Caenorhabditis elegans: one gene and its partner. The protein of the gene in region 1 purifies or fractionates together with the protein of each later gene. This does not show direct contact. Each region holds a gene or a part of one and is shown in the gene's direction. Other genes may lie near its edges. The genes, in order: gop-2 and C18A3.3.

The links.
Region 2: the proteins of gop-2 (region 1) and C18A3.3 fractionate together in Caenorhabditis elegans (co-fractionation; one large-scale study listed by BioGRID). This does not show direct contact.

Annotation. Positions count from the first base shown.
Region 1 is NC_003281.10:5,256,774-5,261,012, forward strand, and holds gop-2 (GPN-loop GTPase 1), read left to right. Parts: upstream 1-2,249; 5' UTR 2,250-2,259; coding exon 2,260-2,403; intron 2,404-2,450; coding exon 2,451-2,786; intron 2,787-2,948; coding exon 2,949-3,225; intron 3,226-3,268; coding exon 3,269-3,429; intron 3,430-3,471; coding exon 3,472-3,621; 3' UTR 3,622-3,739; downstream 3,740-4,239. Other genes in the region: gop-1 (Protein CLEC16A homolog), read left to right, coding at 85-144, 232-447, 507-632, 680-802, 850-979, 1,035-1,285, 1,335-1,415, 1,582-1,866; SAM50-like protein gop-3, read left to right, coding at 3,935-4,060, 4,143-4,239. UniProt on the Caenorhabditis elegans protein: Small GTPase required for proper nuclear import of RNA polymerase II (RNAPII). May act at an RNAP assembly step prior to nuclear import.
Region 2 is NC_003280.10:5,714,609-5,718,804, forward strand, and holds C18A3.3 (putative rRNA-processing protein EBP2 homolog), read left to right. Parts: upstream 1-1,698; coding exon 1,699-1,770; intron 1,771-1,813; coding exon 1,814-1,924; intron 1,925-1,975; coding exon 1,976-2,190; intron 2,191-2,239; coding exon 2,240-2,462; intron 2,463-2,812; coding exon 2,813-3,120; intron 3,121-3,167; coding exon 3,168-3,261; 3' UTR 3,262-3,430; downstream 3,431-4,196. Other genes in the region: Cytotoxic granule-associated RNA binding protein tiar-1, read right to left, coding at 55-197; lelo-4 (Late ELOngation arrest), read left to right, coding at 316-515, 1,474-1,642; C18A3.10 (uncharacterized protein), read right to left, coding at 687-697, 745-893, 937-992; zipt-3 (Zinc/iron permease), read left to right, coding at 3,537-3,637, 3,690-3,999, 4,054-4,125. UniProt on the Caenorhabditis elegans protein: Required for the processing of the 27S pre-rRNA.

The DNA of each region.
Region 1 (4,239 bases):
AACATTGATTGTTACACAAACTTTAATATTTTTAAATTTGAAAATTTTCTTCAAAGTGCTCAAAAATCCTGTCGAAAATTACAGGAAGATCTGGTGGATGATGTATTGGTTGATACTGAAAATTCAGCAATAAGTGATCCAGAAGTGAGTAGAAAACGTGCATGTATTAATTATTAAAAAAAAAATATAGTTTTCCCCAGTTTTCCTTGACCTAAAACTCAGCAATTTCAGCCTAAAAACGTGGAGTCAGAATCTCGTTCTCGATTTCAATCTGCTGTTGATGAGCTTCCACCTCCGTCGACTTCTGGATGTGATGGTCGACTTTTTGATGCACTTTCATCGATTATCAAAGCAGTTGGAACAGATGACAATCGAATTCGACCAATTACATTGGAACTTGCATGTCTTGTAATTCGGCAAATTTTAATGACTGTTGATGATGAAAAAGTAAGATTACAAATTCAAAATTGAGCAAAATCAGAATCTAAATTTCATAAATTGTTCAGGTACATACCAGTTTAACGAAATTATGCTTCGAAGTTCGTCTAAAACTTTTATCATCAATTGGACAATATGTTAATGGAGAGAATCTGTTTTTGGAGTGGTTTGAGGATGAATATGCAGAATTTGAAGTAAGCCAAGAGGTCCGAAAATAATTTAATTCATCCTTTTTATTCAGGTGAATCACGTGAATTTCGATATAATCGGTCACGAAATGCTTCTTCCTCCAGCTGCAACTCCTCTTTCGAATCTGCTACTTCATAAGCGATTGCCCAGTGGATTTGAAGAACGAATAAGAACTGTAGGAAACTTTTTAAATTTGAAAATTAATTATATATATATTTGCAGCAAATCGTATTCTACCTACATATTCGAAAATTGGAACGAGATTTGACCGGTGAAGGAGACACAGAATTACCTGTGAGAGTGTTGAATTCTGATCAGGAACCAGTTGCCATCGGTGATTGTATTAATTTACGTGAGTTCATCTGCATAGAAAACACCATATTTCTACTCAAATTAACAATTTTCAGATAATTCGGATCTTCTATCCTGCACTGTGGTTCCTCAACAACTATGTTCTCTTGGAAAACCTGGTGATCGTCTTGCTCGATTCCTTGTCACTGATAGACTTCAATTAATTCTTGTCGAACCGGATTCTCGAAAAGCCGGATGGGCAATTGTTCGATTCGTAGGACTTCTTCAAGATACAACAATTAATGGAGATTCTACGGATTCGAAAGTTTTGCATGTTGTGGTGGAAGGGCAACCCTCGAGAATTAAGGTAAGAATACTAACGGGAAAAAAAAATCAAAAAATTACTTCTGTTTCAGAAAAGACATCCGGTTTTAACTGCAAAGTTCATATTCGATGATCACATTCGGTGTATGGCAGCAAAGCAACGGCTCACCAAGGTAACGGAAAAAATAACCAAAAAGACGGAAAGTTATTGTAAATGGACGAAATCGGCGAAATTAATTGAAAACGTTTGAATTTGCCGCTAAAACCAAACGAAAACCAAACGAAAGCGAAATTTAACTATCCCTTCAGGTAGAATATACATTTTATTTCTCTTTATAGGGTCGCCAAACAGCACGTGGTCTGAAACTTCAGGCGATATGTTCAGCTCTTGGAGTTCCACGTATCGATCCAGCGACAATGACGTCATCACCACGAATGAATCCATTCAGAATTGTGAAAGGATGCGCACCGGGAAGTGTACGAAAAACTGTTTCCACATCATCATCGTCAAGCCAAGGACGTCCCGGACATTATTCTGCAAATCTTAGATCAGCATCTAGAAATGCAGGAATGATACCAGATGATCCAACTCAACCGAGTAGTTCTTCGGAAAGAAGATCCTAGGGATCAATATCTCTTCAGTTTCATCATTTTATGCTGTAAATTGTATTTAAGTATTCCTATTCTTTGTAGTACTGTATTTACACATCGTCTAGTTAAAATCACAAATCTCCGAAAAAACAAACCAGTGAACATGTGATATTTCTCTTGCCCATAGTTCTCTTTTTTTTTTGAAACAAAAACAATTACTTTTATGCTCACCTATTCGAGCCATATTTTTTTCCCAATTACCGGTTGTTTATTTTAATTTCTTTTTTTTTTCTGTAAATCTACTTTATTTTTAAAACTGCATTTGAGATTGTGTATATTTTTTCAAAATGGTTCAAATGCCGAATCTATCTACTTTTTAATCATTATTCAAACAGAAAAACCGATTATTTATTCAGATTCTCAAAAATGGCTGAAAAAGCTGAAAATCTTCCATCTTCTTCGGCCGAAGCTTCAGAAGAGCCATCACCTCAAACTGGACCAAATGTGAATCAAAAACCATCGATTTTGGTTCTTGGAATGGCTGGTTCTGGAAAAACGACATTTGTTCAGGTAACTTTCATTCAATTTTGAGAGTTTTCAAACATTACTATTTTCAGCGTCTCACAGCATTCCTACATGCTCGTAAAACACCTCCATATGTGATTAATCTGGATCCGGCAGTTAGCAAAGTACCTTATCCAGTGAATGTTGACATTCGAGATACTGTGAAATACAAGGAAGTTATGAAAGAATTCGGAATGGGACCAAATGGAGCAATTATGACATGTCTTAACCTGATGTGTACTCGTTTTGATAAAGTAATTGAGTTGATTAATAAGAGATCTTCTGATTTCTCAGTTTGTCTTCTTGATACTCCTGGACAAATTGAAGCATTCACTTGGAGTGCTAGTGGATCTATTATCACTGATTCATTGGCAAGTAGCCATCCCACGGTAAGGGATTTTGATTTATGAAATCTGCTTGAAATGAAAAAAGATTCTAATAAATTTTTGACTTTTAAACATTTTTTACAGTTATATTTGGTCTATTTTCTATCATTAAAAGCAAAATGAAAAGTCGATTCTACTCCATATTTATTAATTTCGACTTTTCAGGTGGTAATGTACATTGTGGATTCCGCTCGTGCCACAAATCCAACTACATTCATGTCCAATATGCTCTACGCATGTTCCATTCTCTACCGTACCAAACTTCCATTCATTGTCGTTTTCAACAAAGCTGATATTGTCAAACCAACATTTGCACTCAAATGGATGCAAGATTTCGAAAGATTTGATGAAGCTTTAGAGGATGCCAGAAGCAGTTATATGAATGATTTGAGTCGTTCATTGAGTCTCGTTCTTGATGAATTCTATTGCGGACTGAAAACAGGTTTTTATTCGAAATAAAACCTTTTTTAAATAATAAATTTCAGTTTGCGTCAGTTCTGCAACTGGAGAAGGATTCGAAGATGTAATGACAGCAATCGATGAAAGTGTTGAAGCATACAAAAAAGAATATGTTCCAATGTATGAAAAAGTGTTGGCTGAGAAAAAACTATTGGATGAGGAGGAGAGAAAGAAAAGAGATGAAGAGGTAATTGTAGTAATTTAATTCTGATTATCTTCAAATTTTCAGACTCTGAAAGGAAAAGCTGTTCACGACCTGAACAAAGTCGCCAATCCCGACGAATTTCTGGAGTCGGAGTTGAATTCAAAAATCGATAGAATTCATTTGGGCGGAGTCGATGAAGAGAATGAGGAGGATGCTGAACTCGAAAGATCCTGATTTTCTTTTTGTTTTTGAATTTTTATTCTATTTTGATCCCTGTTTACTTCTTATTGTTCTCATTTTGTTGCGTTGTTTTACATTTTACTCATTTTTGCATAAACTTGTTGCAAAAATCAATATAATTTTTGATCTGGAAATGGTTTTAAACCTTAACCTTTCATATATTAATAATTTTTTTTCAAAAAAACGTTCTAAAAAGGTTCCTCATTTTTTCAATATAGGAAATTTTGAAGATCTTTTCCAAAAATGAGGTTCTTCGCTTGAAAAGCCAACATTTAAAACCTTTTTTTTTCCAGAAACCTAGTGGTTAATGTCTGAAAAGACGTTCCACAAGGCACAGACCATCCGTGCAAAGGCATCCGGAGTGCCTTCAATCGTCGAAGCTGTACAGTTTCATGGAGTTCGCATCACAAAAAACGATGCTTTGGTTAAGGAGGTACTACCCAAATTTCAAAATGTTGCACAATTCAATTGAAAATATAAATTGTGAATTAAATTCAACTTACATGTTTTTTCAGGTTTCCGAATTATACAGAAGTAAAAATCTAGATGAACTTGTTCATAACTCTCATCTGGCGGCTCGTCATCTTCAAGAAGTTGGATTAATGGATAATG
Region 2 (4,196 bases), on another chromosome or scaffold:
TTAATTGACAATTTTCAACAAGAAATTCGAAACTTTCCAATGTACCCAACTTACAAAGTTCTTGGTTCATCTGAACCGTTTCCGAGATGAAATCCCTCTCTTTCGGCGAGTTTTGAATGCATTCGGGCATTGTAACCAGTATTGACGTCGTCATTGTAACCATGGTTGGAGTTTGCTGGTGGGTTGAAGAAGGACATGGCTTAAATGATAGATCCCTGTAAAAAAGAAAACGAATAAGAAGATAGAAAATAATTTATGTCGTAATATCGTAAAGAGAGATAAACGTTTAATAAATACTTAAAAAAACAAAGAAACATGCAAAAAACCAATAAAAACAGTGCGGGAACGCTGCGTTCACATTCAAAACTATGCTCGCAAGTGTCGTCTAGAGCGTTGCGGTCAGTGCGCTGCGTGTCACCCTGCGGATCTTACTCAAGCGGCAATTCAAAACAGAGTTTTCAGTTTCGAATTTCTGCAAATAATTTTAAGTTTCAGCCCGTTCCTCCGCAAAAATGGTGAGTATTTTAAAGTTTTAAAACATCAAATCAATTTAGAATTCATTCCAATCAAACAATAGGCGTAAAATATGTTTTCATTCATGTATAAACGTTGAAAATCCATTTTTAGGGTTTAGAATAGTAAGAAATATAATTTTGTCGTTGATAGTGAGAAGCTGACCACTCGTTTCATAACGTATCTGTAAAGAACATGCTTAATATTAAGAACTGGACGTCTAGTACTCACGATGAAGTATGAAAAATATAACTATCGCCAAAATTCCTAGCAAAATCAAAAATCCCACTAAGATCAGAGTTGAACAAAAGCATATTGGTCCAGAAATGCCACATATATTTTTTTCTCTATAGTAACGATAATGCTCATGCGGCATATCTCTGTAAAGTACAGATATCATAGAAATTTGATTCTAAAACTTACGTTCCATAGCTCTCAATCGTGGATACTGTAGGTGTTCGATCTTTAGACTTATTCATTTTCATTAAATTTTTCTGAAAAATTGTTTCTTATTGTACAAAAAATCGAAGAAAAATGAGTCACATCGCACATACCATTGCACTCCGACTCTTATCAATTGATAGACTAAAAACCTATTCATGTGTTTGTTCAAAGAGAAAATTCAATCTAAATAATGTTTTCTGGGGGTCTCTTCGTAAATTTTCGGGTCAATATATCTTTATGCTGCTTCCGATAATCGTTTTTCTCTTCAATTATCAGTTCAATTTAAAAAAATGAAGAACATTTGAGATTTTTTCGGGTTTGGACGCAGCATTATGAACGAGAAATCTTTTGTGGAAGAGAAATTTCAATGCGCCGCAGTTCGGCCAAGAATTTATTGGCTGTTTTTTGGGAAGACACATTACCGATATAAAATGTTTCTTGTCAAAGTTTCATGTATTAAAATACTATTTATTTTGTTAATTTTTTAGTGCAAGCTAATTATTTAAAAACTTTCAGCCAGCCGTCTTCTCATTGGTGCTCGATTCGATGTGCAATAATAATTGTTAATAATTTTTTTGTTTTCATGTATTATATTTTTCTTGTTCTTGTGAATGTTTGTAATAATAATTTGTTAATTTTTTACTATTCTTCGATCTTCAAAAGAAAACGTTTTCAGCGTTTTTAATATTTTATAATTGTGTTTTTCTAATTTTTAATGGATTTATTGATTATCGATTTCAGATGGTTCGTAAAATGAATAAGCTCGCCAAGCGGCTCGCCAGCACTTCAAAAAGTCGTCAACCGGAACCAGAAGTGAGGAAAATACTTTGTTTTAAAAAATAATTCAAAATTTCAGAGCGATTCCGACGGATCCGAATTTGACTTCGATAATGCTATCGAGGAAAAACCAATGGAAGCGATGGATATCGAAGAGGTTGAATCAGACGGCGATGACGATGAAAGAGAGGTGAGAATTACTTTTTTAAAAAGTATTTTCAAAAAAAAAAACTGATTGCAGCTCCAAGCCGCATTCGCTGCTGGTCTTCTTAAAGATGGACTCAACATTCAAGTAGCCAAAAAGCGTCCGATCATCAACAAAAGTGCTGAAATGAAAGAAAAATTGGCTGAAATCACAAAAGATCTTCCATGGGTTGAGACTCTTGAAGTGGTAACTCCTCATTCTGAAATGGACAAGAAAGTGGAAAATGACGACTTCCAAAGAGAGTTGAATTTGTAAGTTGCACGAGGGTTGTATAATTTCGAAAATTCTAATTTTTTAAAGCTATAAGCAAGCTGAAAAAGCTGTTCAAATCGCCTATCCACGTCTTCTGAATCTTGGTATCAAAGTTCTGCGACCAACAGATTACTATGCAGAGATGGCAAAGAGTGACACTCATATGCAGAAAGTTCGCAAGAGACTTCTCGGAATTCAAGAAATGAAGGAACGACAAGAAGCATTCCGCCGTATTCGTGAAGAGAAAAAGTTTGCTGTTAAGGTTCAGAAGGTAATGGTTGTTCAAAAAACCAGAAAAATTTCAGCCTAAAAATTAATTAAAATAACGGAAAAATAACTTTAATTTCTAATGGTTCGATTGGACAAACACTCAAAAATGTTTGCAAGTTGAAAGTTGCAGGATAAAATTTTTTTGCAGCAATATCCAACTTTGATACAGTTTTTGAGCACTTCGCAATTGTTTCAAACTGAAATAAAAATCTATTTCCAGATAAAACATTTTTTCTATTTTCCATCACTAAATTTAAATTTAAAATATTGGTAAAACATGCTATTTACTCTGATTCGTTTTGTAGAATTTACAAAAATAAAATCGTTGAACATGAATATCATTTTTTTCAGGAAGTTCTCGCTGCCAAGAATACAGAGAAAAAGAACCTCGCAGAAGCTGTGAAGAAGCACAAAAAGGGAATGAAACAACAATTGGAAGATATGCTGAACAACGTGAAAAGACATGGTCTTGATCAGGATGATGACGCACCGACTGGAGCATTCGGTGACCGTCTAGGAGGAAGAGGTGGTGCCGGAAGAGGTGGAGCTGGAAGAGGAGGATCGATGAGAAACGCAGGAGAACTCAAAAGAAAACTGAAATCGGATAAATTCGGTTATGGAGGAAAGAAGAAGGGAATGAAGAGAAACAACAAGGAGAGGTAAGAAGCTTCATCGGTCTTTCCTGAAATTATTTTATTTTTTTCAGCTTCAATGATCTGTTCGGAGCTCCACGCGGAGGATTCGGTGGACGTGGTCGTGGTGGTGGACGAGGAGGACGCGGTGGACGCGGAAGACGTTAAGCAAACGTTAAGCCTATTTTTATATTTACAATTTATGAACTTTTGTTACATCATTGTTGATTTTTCCTTGTTATGGATTTCGATTTTCAAAATTTTGTTCTTACAGTTATCCCATTTTTATTGTTGATCTTCTGATTTTAGTAATGTCCAATAAAATAATTTGTTGTTGCAAGCATTGAATAACTTCCAAATCGTTTTTTAATCGATCTTGTATTTTTTAAAAAGTCCAACCAAATCAAAATCGCTAAGCAGATTTTTCAGAAAATGCACTAAAAATGGAACAATTTTTGTTTATGACAACATCAGCTTTTGCTGTTTTCATTCTTCTTCTGATCTCAACATCGATACCGTACACTTTTCTAAGGACATGTTGTGTGTCAGTTTAAATTCCAAAATAACAAATGAAAACTAGAAATTTTTTTTTTCAGAAACGCTTCAAAAACATCAATCTCATTCCTGGGATGTGCTTCATGCGGTGTCTTCATTGCCACGTGTTTCCTCGGACTTGTCCCTCATGTCAGACATCAAGAAATGCATTTAAGAGGGAATCAGACGATAGTTGATAGTTATGGATGGATTCCATCGACTGATCAATTAGTTATTATTGGATTCCTGATAATTTTGATAACTGAGCAAATCATTCACGGAATCGGACATTCAATCGGAAATGGCCATTCACATTCAGGACACAGCCCACTGGCAACAAGTGATTCAATTAAAATGAACAAGTTCCACGATGTAAGCTTTTGTTTTTTGAATTTCCCGGGTTTAATATTTAAAAAAAGTTTTCAGGAGGAAGAAGGAGAGGATCACGTTCCACTTGTTGCAATGGATGATGATGCAGATGAAATTATTTTCCGACAGGTACATACCTTAAAAATAAGAAAATCGATCAAAAGTTATATTTGCTTTATTCTACTCAAACCTCAAAAATG